3 linked regions of the Saccharomyces cerevisiae S288C genome follow. The protein of the gene in region 3 interacts with the protein of the main gene of each other region in a biochemical or structural test. Each region holds a gene or a part of one and is shown on either strand. Other genes may lie near its edges. The genes, in order: VPS3, VPS8 and VPS21.

Region 1 (6,098 bases), on a different chromosome or scaffold from region 3:
GGGCTCAAGAGGCAACAGCAAAAGCTTCCTCCAATGCTCTCAAATTGGACAAGATGAAGGAGGGTAGAATGCAAAATAAGAGGAGAAACGGGAATCAGAATAGGAATAGTATGAACAATAAAGAAAGCAGGGGTAGAGAGGGAAATCAAGGAGAAAGAAACATGAGACTGAAAAACCGTTCTAGTGATTCTGTTCGTGCTAACAAGCAGCAGTGGAATAAAGGTGCTAATACGTCTTTTGTAAAGAATCCTACTGGAAATACAGTAGTTATGCAGCCACAGTTCAAAAAGATGCAGAATGGCAAAAATAATTTGAAAGGAGATGCGAGAGTCGAAGATGATTTACTTGATGTCTTCAATTCGTCGATGGAGCAAAAACCTGTTAATTTCAATGGAACCCCCAAATCTAAAGCAAGGTTTCAAAAAAAGAGTCATATCTTAACAGCATCTAAAAGGAGAAAGGCTCCTCAACAGCAGCTACAGAAGGTTATCAAGAGACCTGTCAGTTCAGAATATGTACTAGAAGAGCCCACTCCTTTATCTTTGTTAGAATATACTCCTCAAGTTTTTCCAACAAAGGAATCCAGATTAGTCAACTTTACCTTAGATAGCTTGAAAAAATCCAATTACCCCATTTACAGATCGCCAAATTTGGGAATCCTCAAAGTACATGATTTCACCCTAAACACGCCAAACTTTGGTAAATATACACCAGGATCCTCCTTGATTTTTGCCAAAGAGCCTCAATTGCAGAATTTACTTATTGAAGAAGACCCAGAAGATTTTCATAGGCAAGTAACAGGAGAATATCAACTCTTAAAACCATATGTGAAAAAAGATTTTGAAAAACTGACGAAATCTAAAGATACTGTGAGTAAGCTCGTACAAAATAGTCAAGTTGTGAGGTTATCATTACAATCTGTTGTTATGGGCTCCGAGGAAAAGAAATTGGTATATGATGTTTGTTCTGGAATGAAACCAATTTCTGAATTACAACAGTAAATCAAACATCGTTATTTCATTCTTACATACCTGTAAATATCTAGTACGTATAAAATTTGAATTGTATGCCTGAACAGAAAAAGAATAGGTGGGCTCTTCTTATCCTTGACTATCAAAATTCCGGCTTAGTTCGTCAGAAATGGATATTTGATTTTTCAACAAACATTTCCGCAAATTAGATTCCTCCTTCTTTTCTTGATACTTAATAAGTACCTTTAAAAGCAATTCGGATATTGTTTGTACGGGAAATACGGAAGGTATAGTTTCGAGGATCTTTAATTGAATATCTGTATCATCTAAAAGTTCAAAATTTCTCTGTAGCAAATTAGTCACTAATTCAACTGAGTAATTCAAAGAAGATATGTCCAAGTATTGTTTCATCACCGCAACCAAGTTCTGCTTGCCTATGTATTTTTCTACACTTCTGAAATCATTAAATGACAAATATATTTTCAGCAATTCTTCGGAAGAAACCCAGTTTGTTAATTCATTGGGGAAAAATAACAAGGTCAATATGTGTTCTTTATCGATCTTGGAAATTTCGTCGAAGGTGAAATTAATAAACTCATCATCTTTTTCATTTTCCGATTTCAAGTTTTCACATTTTTCATAATATTTGGAAAAATTTTCGCACTGAAGACTATGCTTTAATTTGATATGAATAAAATTTGTTATATCTGTCTTATCATACGCGAAATCGTCTTTGTACTCTTTGATAAAATCTCCAAGAATGGACCATATGTTACTTTGGTTGATTATTTCTCGCAATTTCGCCAAATAATAGTTAAAGAGAAATTTGGAATCGTTGCTGTTTTGGACACCGAGTTGTTCTATGAATGATACCTTCAGGGATGTTTCTTCTGCGGGTATTTTGTTTAAAAAGTCGTTTTTATTAATACATGCCATGTCCAATATTTTAAGAACCTTTTTGATGGCGCATTCCTCAGTATTTTCGTCGCCTTGTTTAAGAGTGAGGAGAAGATCATCGGCTATTCTTTCTTTGATATAATCCTCAGGAAGTTTTTTGAGATTTTCTTCAATGAATGAAACTAGTGAAATGTAATCCCCAGCTTCCCTCAAAAGATTTAGTGCTTTAAGATATTCCCCTTTTTCTTTATATATCTCAATTAGTAACTCTATCCTAGGAAGTTTATCATCATGTAAATTAATCTCTCTGATAATTTCGTCGTAACTTTCGCGTTCAAACATATCAACAGTTATAGTTTCCTTTTTTTCCAATCTTAATTTGAATAAAGTTATATCAATAGTTTTCATTATATCATCAAAGTCATTCGTTAAGAGTCCAGTTTTATTCTTTTTCTTTAGTTCATTCTTCATCATCAGAAGCATTTTTAGAATATTCTCGCATTTGTTAGTTAGCTTCAAGCTTTTCAACCTTTCAACTATATTTATTAACCCATGGAAGCACCAGATCTCGCTATAGACTTTCCAGCCAAACATATAAAATAATATTCTGATGTCAACTTTGTCAGAAAAGTCACACCACTTTTTCATTACCTCATCTTCTATGTGATCGTAATGTAAGGTCATTAGAAACAATAAAAGAGACATCAAATATTTCGCTTCAATGTGCTCAAATTTTGTTAAATCCTTCTTCGCAAGCTTTTTCAATTGATCTTCAATATTATCAATTTCGGACTCTTCACATGATGTAAAACGTAAGACCATCGGCGTTGGAACTAATAAATGAATCCCTAAATTATTATAAACGATTAAAGAGGTCTTTTCTTCATAAGACTCTTCAACAAAGGCGCGTTCTCTTTCAATTCTAAATTTATTATCACTATGTGTCAGAGGCTCAAGTCTCAACTTATTGAATATTTTTTCTTTGAATTCTTCAGAATTATTGGTATTAGTGAATACATTGTCAGATTTTGAAATTTTTAAATCCGATCCAGAAGTAGTTATACTTTGCAACAACTGGGATTTTTCACTCGGCAAGGCAGAATATATGTCAACCGACTGGAAAGCAGACTCAGCGATTATGTAGGGAAACTCAACAATTACATTTCTTGGATAATTTTTTAGCACTATAGTTCCTTTTATTATGTCGCCATGATGATTTACCACTAAGGCCATCGCCCCACTATCGTATGATCCTCCTCCAGAACAAACTAAAAATTCACTCTGTTCATTGAAACTGGTTATTATAGGTTCTAAGTCTTCGTCAGTCTCACTTATTCGAAATAATGGAATTACCTGTGACGACTTTAGATTTATAAGTTCGTAACTATTTAACTTCGAAACCATTAATGTTTCTTCGTGCGCACAAGCTTTATCTATTAGTTTGAAATTAAAAGCTTTGGTAAGTACTAATGAATCTGCAGATATTTTGAGTAGTCTTACGCCTTCTGCGTGAAATGCATATATTCTATAAGCCTTCGAGCTTCGGGAAAAATTACAAATAACGACATCACTAATACCTTTAAGTCTAGTTGTGTTGGGCCTTGGTGCAAATTCTGGGAGAATAAATAAAACTAGTTCGTTATCACATAATATTAGTGCGCCTTCTACTTTAGGTAAAAGAAGGATTTTGTCTATCTTCGAATTTGATTCTGCATCAAACTTTGTTTGCGACACAAGCATATAGTTTCCACGTTCAAGTTCAAAGTAATGTAAAAGATCACCTGTAGTTGTTCCCAAGAATATGTGGTTCTCATACGCCTCACAACATGTGTATATCAAGTCAGATGGTACATTGTCTAATAGGGTAGAGATTGTAAAAGGACCTTCGCTTATTTTCAGTGGCAACCCTTTTTCCTGTTCATCATTCGTGGAGGTTTTTTCATTTAAGCTTGTAATATCTGTATTTATGACATTATCTTCTGCGCTGCTAGGCTGACAGCTTTCTTGTGCTGTGTTTTTATCAGTATGTGGACTGTCTTCGATTGGTCGACTCTCTTCCTGGGAAAATTTATCAGCTCGTACTGTTTCATTTGGGTTAGCATTATGTGTATTCGTCTCTTCACTTTCTGTTGCACGTAGACTATCATCTTCTGTTTTTTTTTTGTCATTTTCTCTTTCGTGAGGTGAGGATTCGCTATCTATATCGAGCTTTCCTTCATTTTCCTTTACTTCTTTTCCTTTGTCATTATTCGTTTTCTTTTTTACCATGGTTCTATAATATTATGGTTGCAACCAAAAAAAGGTAGTCTCCTTGACTGTTATGATAGTTCTGATTCACTAATGTCGTTATAAAATAGTAAGTACATATGAATATTTCCAGTTAAACTTGCCTTTTTTTCCCATCGGAACGGTATCTTCAACAGATATTATGCGATGTAAGGAGTTTTTAGGAGACAATTATATATACCTGCACTTTCAATGAGATCAAGCTTTTTATTATTATTGTACAGATGCTTATATACCAAATATTGTGACTTTATCGTAGAAAATTTATTTTAACAATTTAGCCAAAAGCTGAGAGCCTTTGTTACTTTCATCAGTGGTGATTTTACTCTGAACTCCTCTCAAATCCTTCAAAAATGGTTTCCCTTCTTTTTGATCTTTTAACGTTTCATACAGTGCAACAATTGTAAATGAACTATCAGCGTTATTAATCCATTCTAACAAGTTGGAGGAGTCAATAATTTCATCGTATAACTTTTCAGCAAATGGAACGCCTAAGCCTTGAACATTTTTTAATGGTATGACCTTTTTTTCTTTGTTATTCCATTTACCACCTTGAATTAGTGCCTTTAATAGTCTAGTAGAAAATGCTCTATGTATTGGGTGCTCTTCTTCGGTTATGTCACCCTTAAAAGTAGTTAAAATGTTGTTTAAGACCTGTTGATACTTTTCTTGGTCTTTTTCATTCAGCTGCGCGTACAACTCATCGTTTATTAGAACTTCGGCAATGAACTGACAGCCTAGATTCTCTGTCAATATACTGGAATAATCTTTTGATATAGTGCTTAAAAACATGGGGGCGAATTTTGACAAAAGTTCGTGCCTTCTTTGTAAAGGATCCTTCTTAGAGGTGGCTTTGGACAGTTCAATGTATCTCAATAATTCATTCTTGACGATAGGTGAGAAATACTTACCGTCCAAACCTAATAGTATGTATAACCAAGGCCTTCTACCAAACTTATCAATTATGAATTCTTGCAAATGTTCCTTAACAGTAGGACTGAAAGTCTTGAATACTAAAACTGTATCGTCAACACAGTTCAGAATTGTAATGAAGACAATATTACCGTACTCATTTTTGATCAATTTTTCGGCGTGGTTTTTCAAAGCCTTTAAAATTAACTTTCTTTCCTTGGCGTTAGCTCTAGCAACCAAAGTACAAGCAACGTCTGAACCTTCTGGAGTATGCACCAATTCAGCGAATTGTTCATGAAGCAATTCGATCATTTCAGATATTTCCTTTTCGTTGGCTATTTTCACATATTCTCTCATAGCAGCATGTAGAATTTGAAAGCCGGTGGAACCCTTTTCTACTGATGCGGTAATGGTACCAATCAAGTTTCTGGCGATAATATTCCTTTTTTCAATGCTACTTTCACAAACTTTCTCAATGGTCAAATCTTTGTGGGTTTCTCTAAATACAGCATATTCAGAGCCCCAAAACTCTTTAATCATTTGTTGTCTTTGTTCATGTGTGGCATAAAGAACAAATAAATCTTCAACAACGTAGGCACCCTCACGATGTCTCATTAATTTTCTCAAAGAACCGTGTAATTCATTTATTATAGTTTGCCTTGAACTTCTTGAACCATAATGCAGTAACTTAACCAATAGATACTTACCGTACGCAGATGTGGCTAGAACATAAAATTTTCCCTTTAAAGCATCGACAATTTGTTCACGACGATCTTTGGACGAATACTTGACTAAAGTTTGAACAATACGGGAAGCATCATGCTTTAAGACAAGATCACTGATACAGTCCTTAGATAGCTCCCAGATTTCGTTGGAAAGTTTTTCACGAATCTGTTTTGGTAAAGGTGGGGTCTTCACACGCAATCTTTCCCAGACGGATTTAATTTGTTGCACTTGGGTACCAGATTTTCTTTGCATTTTCCTTTCTTTTAGCAGTTTTCTTTGTTCAGTGTGATTTCCATTTTCACCTCC
Region 2 (6,455 bases), on a different chromosome or scaffold from region 3:
GGAGAGCTATTGAATATGGATGTAATTCCAATGGTGAGAAATGTTCGACCTTTAACGTATACTTCAAGGAGATTTGAAATACGAACATTAACTCCCCCTCTGATTATATATGCCAATTCTCAGACAAAATTGAATACAGCAAGGAAGTCTGCTGTCAAAGTTCCACTGGGCAAACCATTTTCTCGTTTATGGGTGAATGGATCTGGTTCCATTAGGCCAAACATATGGAAGCAGGTAGTTACTATGGTCGTTAACGAAATAATATTTCATCCAGGGATAACATTGAGTAGATTGCAATCTAGGTGTCGTGAAGTACTTTCGCTTCATGAAATATCAGAAATATGCAAATGGCTCCTAGAAAGACAAGTATTAATAACTACTGATTTTGATGGCTATTGGGTCAATCATAATTGGTATTCTATATATGAATCTACATAATGAAATGAGGTGTATAAATTTTACTTTTATGTAACCAAAGTTGTATTAAATATTTAGAAATGTTATACTATTTTTGGGTTAGATTCCGTCTGGCAAATTAAACAAGAATATTCATCGGGTTTCTGGGCCAAGTTTTCGAGGCAAGTCTGGTGAAAGCCATGGTGACATTTGAATATGACAAGGGGAGTTTTGAGATCTACACTAATCATATCTTGGTGGCGCTGTACATTTTCCCAAGCTAGAAAAAGTAATGGGTCCAGACCAGCTCCCCATATTTTTTTCCCGCAGATTTCGCAGTCGTCGGTGTGTATAGACCACCCTTCACTCAGAAATTTTCTATACTGTTGAACAAGATCTTGCGAAGAATCCTCTATAATCTTTTGAATCAACTCAGAAAGAGATCTTTCCAATTTATAAGTATTAAAAACATTCAGTAGCAGTTGCTTTAAATCCTGAACTTTCATTAAAATAACGTCTTGGTGCTCAAGAACAGAAGACATTATTTCCCAGAATTCCCCACCTGAATCCTTCTGAGAGGAACTCTTGGACCTAACCAATCCCAAAAATGCTTCTTGAAGTAGTTTATTACATAAATCTTTCCTTTCATCGTGTGAAGGATATTTCCCATATAGAGTGATCAGGAATGTAATCAATAATATCCAACACGATTTTTTCTCGGTACCAGCAGAATTACAATCATCAAAGGCCCTCCTCAAAGATTCCAATAAAGTAGATATATTTGTTTTCCCTTCATTTAGACATTGTTCAATAAAACTTAATAAATCCCTGACTGCTAGGTTAAAACTTTCCAAGCGTTCGTGAATTATAGCTGCAGCTTCAAAATTAGAGTCTTGATTCAATAAGTCCAGAATTTGTAAGCTCTCAGCGTTGCTGAGAACTGTACCATTAAGCCAAAGAATCATTTCCCTTTTGCTCTTGTATTTACAGTTCAATTCGATGTGTAAATTTCTTAAACGCTTATCGACCTTATTGTTGATATTTGGCGTAGAAAAAAGCTTATCCAAATACTTTTGCTGAGTCTCCTCATTCTTTACTTCCAGGATTTCTTGATGAAGATTATAGTCAAAGTCAGAAAAAATTGTGACGCATTTTTCGATACCGATCCTTGAGAGAAGAAGATCAAAGTTCGTCTCGATAACTTCAGTAACTTTGCCACATTCTAAACTTCCAGGTGGGCATTTTTTGAGTATGTAGTCGGTTATGGATACAATGTCCGTGTTATATTCTTTTTCGATGTCCTTAGTTTCTAAAATAAGTGAAAGCGCACTGGCGTACTTATTTTCACTTTTATAGATATGGAAAAGAACTTTATTGAAATTTTTTTCTTTTAGTTCCAGTATAAAATTTTCTGTTGTTCTTGAATGATAATAGGGTAAAAGCGACTCCAGAGCTATTTGAGAAATTTCATATATACCTTGAACCCTAGAGGAGCATATGGTATTAACAACGCAGTCGAGGGCTTGGTTAGACACTTTAATAAATTGAGGATATTTTGATATACTAGTTGCAATGAAAATTGCAACAAGTACCCTGATGTTGTCTGAATTTCCCGTATCTTTCATAGCATCCAATAGTAGATCAATAACATATTGCCTACTTACCAATTCTGCTTCTCCAACTGATGCAACCATGTCATTGTCATCGTTAAACAAGGACGCTTCAAACACTTCATTGAGCATTGCTAAGAACCTACTCGGATTCGATTTCAATAAAAGGTGAAAGTAAGGAAATGCTGGCTCTTCTTCTGGATTTTCGCATATGTAAAGTTTATGATTGCTGTTCGACGGCCATTTTATGGAGAAGCCACTAAAAATAAATGCTGAAAGTTCCCTTTGTATTTTGGAGCATTTATCACTTGGTGATATAGACAAGTTTTGTGGATATTGCCTGCCAGTAAGGATATACGTTACGTAATCAAATATAGTCGTTTCAGGAGGTACTTGAGGACCATTGAAGATCACACATTTTTCACTTTGGTTAGAAATCCTGTATATCAAGTCCACCACTGGGGTTTGATAATCATCAAAGATCTTGTTCCAAATATATATTAATAAATCGAACAAATTATACTTTTGGCATAGTTTGACGGCAAGATCAACATCAAGCGTAGTAGGATTTAACATGATGATTAAGTCTTCAATTACTTTTAAATTCTCCTCCTTAGCATAGTAATCAATTATGGACCTGAAAAGAACTGGGGAAATTGACGTAACTGATCCTTGGGCAACAATATTTGCTACAACTTCAAAATATACCGCGTTGTCCTTCAATTCAAAGAACTCCAGACCCTGTTCCAAAAAGACGTCTAGAGAAGGAATTGAGTCTAGTTTTTTGGAAGATTGCTGCAAAACACGAACAACTACCATTAATAATTGGTAAACCCTATTGTAGTCGGCATTATCTTTTTTTATAAGAAACCTTAGGGCAGCCAAGGACAGATTGTAAAATGGTTCCATAAGTTGCTTAGTCCTCTCTTCCGTATTATTATCTAGCTTCAACAAGTTTGCCAGTGGACAGTAAGGTTGCAAAAGTGATTCTATGAACTCCAATGCACCCAAGTAGTCGCCTTTCAAAATATGTCTTAAAGTAATATCTGACCAAGACACAAATTTGCCAATTTTAAATGAGTAGTTTGTTAACAGGTAGAAACTTCTTCTACTTATTACAAAATATTTATTAGGTGGGATCATCAAATCGTGAATCAGAAAATCCAATCTTAACAGGATCTTGAAGTCATGTTGGGGGTGCAATACCAAAAATTGGTGCGATATGGTTAAAACACCAAGTAGGAGCTGGTCAATCCATTGAATGGATAATATAGATTCTGCAAATTCAGGAGAATGGCTAGCGGACTGAACATTGAAGTCTGATGAAGATATGGAAATAACAGAAATTTTATTATTTACGGAATAAGCAACCCTGGAACAGTTTTGAGTCCATGAAATAGAGCTATTCACGACTAGAGAATTTTGTACTGAGGGTTCAACAGTTTCTTGAAACATCAAAGAAACGTGTGGCGATAATAAAATAAGGGCAAAATGTGTAGTTGTGAGTACACTCAACAAATTAGTGGAAATTTTCTCCCGTGATATTAGTGGAGACAACTTTGACCTTATTAATTTCTCCTTGGAAGAGTTCACATCTAAAATTTTTTTTGAATTATACACCAACTGCCAAAAGCCTCTTCTGTAACCGTTATAGAGTGATACTTTACCTGTCCTATCACTAACAATCAGGGCTGTATGCCGAGCACCAAAAAAGTCTAACCCTGTGATTTCCTTGTTCACATGGTCATCGATGTGTAAGACTGCCGGTAAGGCAGGCGTTGGGGTCATACCATTTGTTGGTTCAGAAGTGGGTTTCACTCTATACCCTACGTTCAAGTTCCAAATGCATATATTTCCGGTCTCGTATGAGGCAGCTACATGAGTACCATCGGAACATATGACAATTGATTTCACTGGACTTCTTATTGAGTGAATAGAAGGGTCCTCAGATAAGGTCGGCACTAGGATTGTCTGCAAATGTTCATTATAATTAAAAATGAGTACGCATCCTTTAGAAGTGCCCATCAAAAAATACGTGGCTGTCGGATACAAGCACGTGGGCCCTCCATAAGCACCCAGGATGGAATATACGTGTGTTAAAGTTGTCCATGAGACTACGGATTCGGAGCCTTGTGACACTGCAGAAGCTACCCCTTTAGGACCATCTTCGTTCAGGGGAGGTGCCGTATATGAAGAACTAGATGCCAGTTTTTCACTTAATTGGGTATACGATCTAAATTCTAGGAAAGTCTTTTGAGTGTCATTAATAGTCGTATCGATGCTAGATCTGCTGTCGTGGTCAAGGCCATTTTGCTCCATTCTAGGTGTAATGAGTAATGGTCTCGGCAGATATATATTTTACACTTATTAAGCCTTTGTATGTATTGGTAATAACTGTCCTTTTTCACGCAGGTATATCATCGTAACCAGAGGTTCCCTTTTTTTTTTTTCCACAGGAAACTCACGTTTTGATTATATGTCTTTCTCGTTTTTGCCATGTTAAGCTACGAATAATGAAATTTTCCTTTTCTTCTAATCGTGAAAAAGTTATCCACCATAACTCCCTACACCGCGTATTTTCGACAAGATATTATGAGTATGTGTATTTAAGAATATGAAAAGAGATATACATAACTTGAATATTCCCGGAATAAATTCAATTAATAAACACGATTCCTTATATAGTGGTTACACAAATTAGTAATAATGTTTCGTGTGCAGTCGAAAAGTTTATCGTTCAAAATTCCTTCTGTTTTTTTTAGCCTAAAACCTAAGTTATTTCGTTGTTTTTTTCATTTATTTGTTAATCTTTACAATGTTGTTTTTGCTTTAATGTTAATTATAAAAAGTTTATAAAAAAGCCTTTTATAATTTTTGCATAGCAGCAATATCGGTAGATTGGACGTGGTCTTCGTCTTCTTCAATGCTTTGTTGCAAGTCATCCAAGGAAACCTTGTCATCTTCGACAACACAGTTAATTTGCAACTTCTTGATACCGAAACCAATTGGGATAAATTGGTGAGCACCCCAGGTCAAACCTTCCATTTCGATGGCCTTGACGTTAGCAACCATTTCTTCCAAATTGGTTTCATCATCCCATGGCTTGACATCTAGAGTGACAATGGACTTAGCAGCTGGCTTAGCTGGCTTAGCAGCCTTCTTAGCGTTGTATGCGGCAATTCTTTCAGCCTTCAACTTTTCAGCTTCAGCGTCAGCTTCTTCATCGTCGGAACCGAATAAATCGACATCGTCATCTTCTTCTTCTTCGGCAGCGGCAGCAGAGGCAGCTGGGAAAGAGTCGAATTCATCGGCCTTGGAAGCGATGTGGTTGAACCATCTGGAGAATTCTGGGTAAGCAGATTGGAAAGCCTTGAAGACAGTGACGTCAGCTTGAGAAACAGCAGTACTATTTTAAAAGGAGAAACAAAACATTTTGCTTGTTAGTAATGAGAACTTTTTTCTTGTAATGCAATCTTTAGACTCTGTCTTTCTTTTTTTGAACAAAAAAGGAAAAAAAAATAACAGATAACTAATAATGATACTCTGCTCTGTGCTATCGTCAGATACTGTGATAGTCAACCACATCTCTTTTGTCACTCATATCGGGGGTCTTACTTCCCATCATAAACACGGACCAAAGAATTAAATTCATCATTCACATAAGCGAAAAAAAGTAATCATTATTAGTTAACTTCCCTTTACATGTAACCATAGGAAAAAAAAAAAAGAAAGAAAAACAACGATCTATAAAGTAAACTAAATCGGAACATACCCTTCAATGTATGACTTGTCAGCCAAAGAAGCGTTTAATTGTTTCAAAGTTTCAATCTTGGAGAAATCGGTGGATGCCATTATGTGTGTATATATTCGGTTGGACTCTTCAGTGCTGAAAGGTAGAAAGCATGAGGTAAAAAGATAAAGAGTAGAAGGAAAAAAAAAAGAACCAACTAAATATAGTGGGTAGATAACCTTAAACTATTTATTTAGAGGCGACAATGTGAAAAATTTTTTCTTCAAAGGCTCGGTTGTCGACAAATTGTTACGTTGTGCTTTGATTTCTAAAGCGCTTCTTCACCTGCAGGTTCTGAGCCCTAAGAAAAAAAATTTCCTTGGTTGAAAATGGCGGAAAAAAAAAATTCAGAAAAAGAAATAAAGCACGTGTGCGCGGTGTGTGGATGATGGTTTCATCATTGTCAACGGCATTTTCGTTCTTGTGGATTGTTGTAAACTTTCCAGAACATTCTAGAAAGAAAGCACACGGAACGTTTAGAAGCTGTCATTTGCGTTTTTTCTCCAGATTTTAGTTGAGAAAGTAATTAAATTATTCTTCTTTTTCCAGAACGTTCCATCGGCGGCAAAAGGGAGAGAAAGAACCCAAAAAGAAGGGGGGCCATTTAGATTAGCTGATCGTTTCGAGGACTTCAAGGTTATATAAGGGGTGGATTGATG
Region 3 (4,022 bases):
GTGATGGGCAGCATTGACTAAATTTCCTTATCCCTTGCATAGTTACATTCTTAGTTATCAGGTATTGGCGACCAATTGCATACATTTTTATTTTCTACTTTAAAACTCAGTAATGAGCAGTTACCGGCCCTTCATTATGTAGAAAAACAGGATTCACTTCTTTCTACACAAGATACAAAAAAGAAAAAAAGGATCGATTGGAGGGTAAACGAAATCGTGTGATAGGCAGGAAAAGAAACATCTATTGCTACTTTAATTGAATTTGTGCTCTACTGAAATTTTTCAACAGAAGAAGTGCTTTTACTTCTCTCAATCTCTCCATGTCTCCCTTAACTAGAACCGTAGCTATAAAGAAAACGGTTAAGGTTCTATCTAAATGTCAATCTGGTAGAGAATACACACAGAAGTTTCTCCAACGTGCATATTCAACATCACATGCCAACAGCACATACTATTCAAGGACAAAGCTATTCATATCATCACATTCTAAAGCTCTAAACATTGCTCTACTAAGCGGGTCCCTACTGTTGACCTACTCCTACTATTCCCCTAAAAAGATCCTCTCCCTTGATACAATTAACGGAATAAAAGATTATTCTACAAATACTAGTGGTAACATTAACATGCCGTCACCTAATCCAAAAGGAACAGAGACACAAAAGAGTCAACGGTCTCAGAATGACCAATCTGTTCTTATCTTGAACGATTCTAAAATAGAGGCTAAACTACATGATAGAGAGGAAAGCCATTTTGTTAACCGTGGCACTGGTATATTCAGGTATGATGTGGCACAGTTGCCCTCTAACCATCCAATAGAAGACGATCACGTAGAACAAATCATTACCATTCCGATAGAAAGTGAGGATGGCAAGTCCATAGAGAAGGATTTGTATTTTTTTGGAATTTTTGATGGACATGGTGGTCCTTTCACTTCGGAAAAATTATCTAAAGATCTAGTCCGTTATGTAGCGTATCAATTAGGTCAGGTATATGACCAGAACAAAACGGTTTTCCATTCCGACCCCAACCAATTAATCGATTCTGCAATTTCGAAAGGTTTTTTGAAACTAGATAATGATCTTGTAATCGAATCGTTCAGGAAGCTGTTTCAAGATCCAAACAACACAAATATTGCAAACACTTTACCAGCGATTTCTGGTTCTTGTGCACTATTAAGTTTATACAACTCCACTAACTCAATTTTGAAAGTGGCTGTCACTGGAGACTCAAGGGCTTTAATTTGTGGTTTGGACAACGAGGGCAATTGGACGGTAAAGTCGCTATCCACCGACCAGACCGGTGATAATTTGGATGAAGTACGGAGAATTAGGAAAGAACATCCAGGAGAACCAAACGTTATAAGAAACGGAAGAATATTGGGTTCATTACAACCATCCAGGGCATTTGGAGACTATCGCTACAAGATCAAAGAAGTCGATGGAAAACCATTATCGGATTTGCCTGAAGTTGCCAAACTTTATTTTAGAAGAGAGCCAAGGGATTTCAAGACACCCCCATATGTCACTGCGGAACCAGTGATTACTTCTGCCAAAATTGGTGAGAACACTAAATTTATGGTGATGGGTTCGGATGGTTTATTCGAATTACTAACTAATGAAGAAATTGCTTCCTTGGTTATCAGGTGGATGGATAAAAATATGAATCTGGCACCTGTGAAGGCAGAACCGGGGAAATTACCAAAAGTTATCGATGTATCTGAAGACAAGGAAGCACAAAGACCGGCATTCAGGTACAAGGATAATAATTCGAGCTCACCATCAGGATCAAACCCAGAGTATCTTATTGAAGACAAAAACGTCGCCACTCATTTAATTAGAAATGCATTAAGTGCGGGCGGAAGAAAAGAATATGTATCGGCATTGGTAAGTATACCATCGCCGATGAGTAGAAGATACAGAGATGACTTGACAGTAACAGTGGCGTTCTTTGGTGATTCTGGAACACCCTCAATTGTCTCCAATGCTACTTCAATAGTTATGAACCCGGAGGCAACAACAAAGCCAAAACCTAGATTATGACGATATAAACTTATGCTGAGGTAGGTATATACCAGAGGATTTATTTTATAGATATTAGTCTGCTGATTATCTAGTTTCTTGTCACCTCATACGTGTTTTTTTTTTTTTTGGTTTTCTCGGTTTGCATTATGGGGCTTTTTGCTAAAACAATATCCCCGAAAAGACAAAGAAAGAGAAGTGAGGTGAAAATACGAGCAGCTTATCTTATAAAAGTGGCAACGATTTTAAAAATAAAAAGCAAGATCGTCGACTTATCTAAGCTATAAAAAAATATCCCTTTTATCACACAAAAAAATGAACACATCAGTCACTTCCATAAAGTTGGTACTGTTGGGTGAGGCAGCAGTTGGTAAATCGTCAATAGTCCTAAGGTTTGTATCTAATGATTTTGCCGAAAATAAGGAGCCCACCATTGGTGCAGCATTCCTCACTCAAAGAGTTACTATAAATGAACATACTGTTAAGTTTGAAATATGGGACACTGCTGGGCAAGAGAGATTTGCATCTTTAGCACCTATGTACTATAGAAACGCACAAGCTGCTCTTGTAGTATACGACGTTACAAAACCACAATCCTTTATTAAAGCGCGCCACTGGGTTAAGGAATTACATGAACAGGCATCAAAGGATATCATCATTGCGTTAGTTGGTAACAAGATCGATATGCTGCAAGAAGGTGGGGAAAGAAAAGTCGCAAGGGAAGAAGGTGAAAAGCTAGCGGAAGAAAAGGGCTTGTTGTTCTTTGAAACAAGTGCAAAGACAGGAGAGAATGTTAACGATGTATTTTTGGGAATCGGTGAAAAGATACCACTGAAGACGGCTGAAGAGCAAAATAGTGCAAGTAACGAACGTGAGTCGAACAATCAAAGAGTGGATTTGAACGCTGCTAATGATGGGACCAGCGCAAACAGTGCTTGCAGTTGTTAGAGAGGGGAAAATAAATATATATAAAAAAAAAGTCTGGGCAAATTGAGATAAATAGATCTTCAAAACGGGAAAGATGAAAGTCATAATTTATCGTACCTAGAAAGGAGAGGGAGTTTTCATTTTTTACCGTAATCGTTGTTTTTCTTTTCTTCTTATAATTTGTAAATTTTTTAACTGCATTAGATCATTATATTATCTTTCAAAACGCCAGTCGTTTTTATTAGACCTTTATATACGTTTCAAAGTGGTTTGTACACGTTAGTTTAGTTAAACTTTTGTTTTCATGTAGACCAAAATATAAACTTATTTTATGCCGAAAATCGGGAGATGGATTAGTTAATATTGTAAATAATGATAAATTAAAGGAACATTAAATTTACAAAGTTGCAATGAGGAGCAATATATATATATATATATGGATTTCTGAGAAATTAATTAAGCAGTATTTGAACACATGTCGTTTACTCTTTCTTATCCTTTATGTCTAATTTTTCGAGTAGATCGGTAATTACAGCTGTCAAGTTTTCCACTTTCTTAGTGAGCTCTTTGACTTCATCTTTATCTTCACCAGCATCATCTTCAGTGTCATCGTTATCATACTGTTCGAAGGAGGGACTGCATTTTTTAACGTTTTTATACCACTTCTTAGGGACTTTAAAATGGACATCTTCCTGCTCTGCTGTTCTTTGCAGTTTTAGCGAACGGGAATTCTTTAACTGGGTGGCTCTCATGCCAGAATTTCGGTTATCAGAAAACAAACCGTCATCATCATCCAAGTAGCCATCTGTCAAATCCCATGGAGTATCATATTCATTGGCATCATCGTTTAACCTTTTCATCCTGTTATATTTTATCCTTCTAGCCTCCCGAGTTTCTTTAACAGAAATAAGCAACAAAAATGGGCTGTACACTATTGTCATTACAGTATAGCTCAAATCTTTAGCACGCTTCGGTGGAAGAATACGAAAGATAGGTGTCATGAACACTTCAATTAAGTTCAATGGAGAAACATAGACATCTTCATCAGGTGCTCTAATGTATCTCAACGTCTTTTGT

Evidence for each region.
Region 1: the proteins of VPS21 (region 3) and VPS3 form a complex in vitro, tested with the Saccharomyces cerevisiae proteins (2 studies listed by BioGRID).
Region 2: the proteins of VPS21 (region 3) and VPS8 form a complex in vitro, tested with the Saccharomyces cerevisiae proteins (2 studies listed by BioGRID).

The regions. Positions count from the first base shown.
Region 1 is NC_001136.10:1,437,015-1,443,112, forward strand, and holds VPS3 (CORVET complex subunit VPS3), read right to left. Parts: upstream 4,137-6,098; coding exon 1,101-4,136; downstream 1-1,100. Other genes in the region: mitochondrial 37S ribosomal protein mS46 RSM28, read left to right, coding at 1-1,001; PUF6 (Puf6p), read right to left, coding at 4,419-6,098. UniProt on the Saccharomyces cerevisiae protein: Required for sorting and processing of soluble vacuolar proteins, integrity of vacuolar morphology, efficient segregation of vacuolar material into the bud during the cell cycle, acidification of the vacuolar lumen, and assembly of the vacuolar H(+)-ATPase.
Region 2 is NC_001133.9:141,577-148,031, reverse strand, and holds VPS8 (CORVET complex membrane-binding subunit VPS8), read right to left. Parts: upstream 4,326-6,455; coding exon 501-4,325; downstream 1-500. Other genes in the region: transcription factor TFIIIC subunit TFC3, read left to right, coding at 1-438; EFB1 (translation elongation factor 1 subunit beta), read right to left, coding at 4,872-5,412, 5,779-5,858. UniProt on the Saccharomyces cerevisiae protein: Required for localization and recycling of the CPY sorting receptor (VPS10) to the late-Golgi compartment. Involved in the retention of proteins to the late-Golgi. Plays an integral role in the complex vacuolar protein sorting process.
Region 3 is NC_001147.6:489,140-493,161, reverse strand, and holds VPS21 (Rab family GTPase VPS21), read left to right. Parts: upstream 1-2,333; coding exon 2,334-2,966; downstream 2,967-4,022. Other genes in the region: type 2C protein phosphatase PTC5, read left to right, coding at 321-2,039; YVC1 (Yvc1p), read right to left, coding at 3,428-4,022.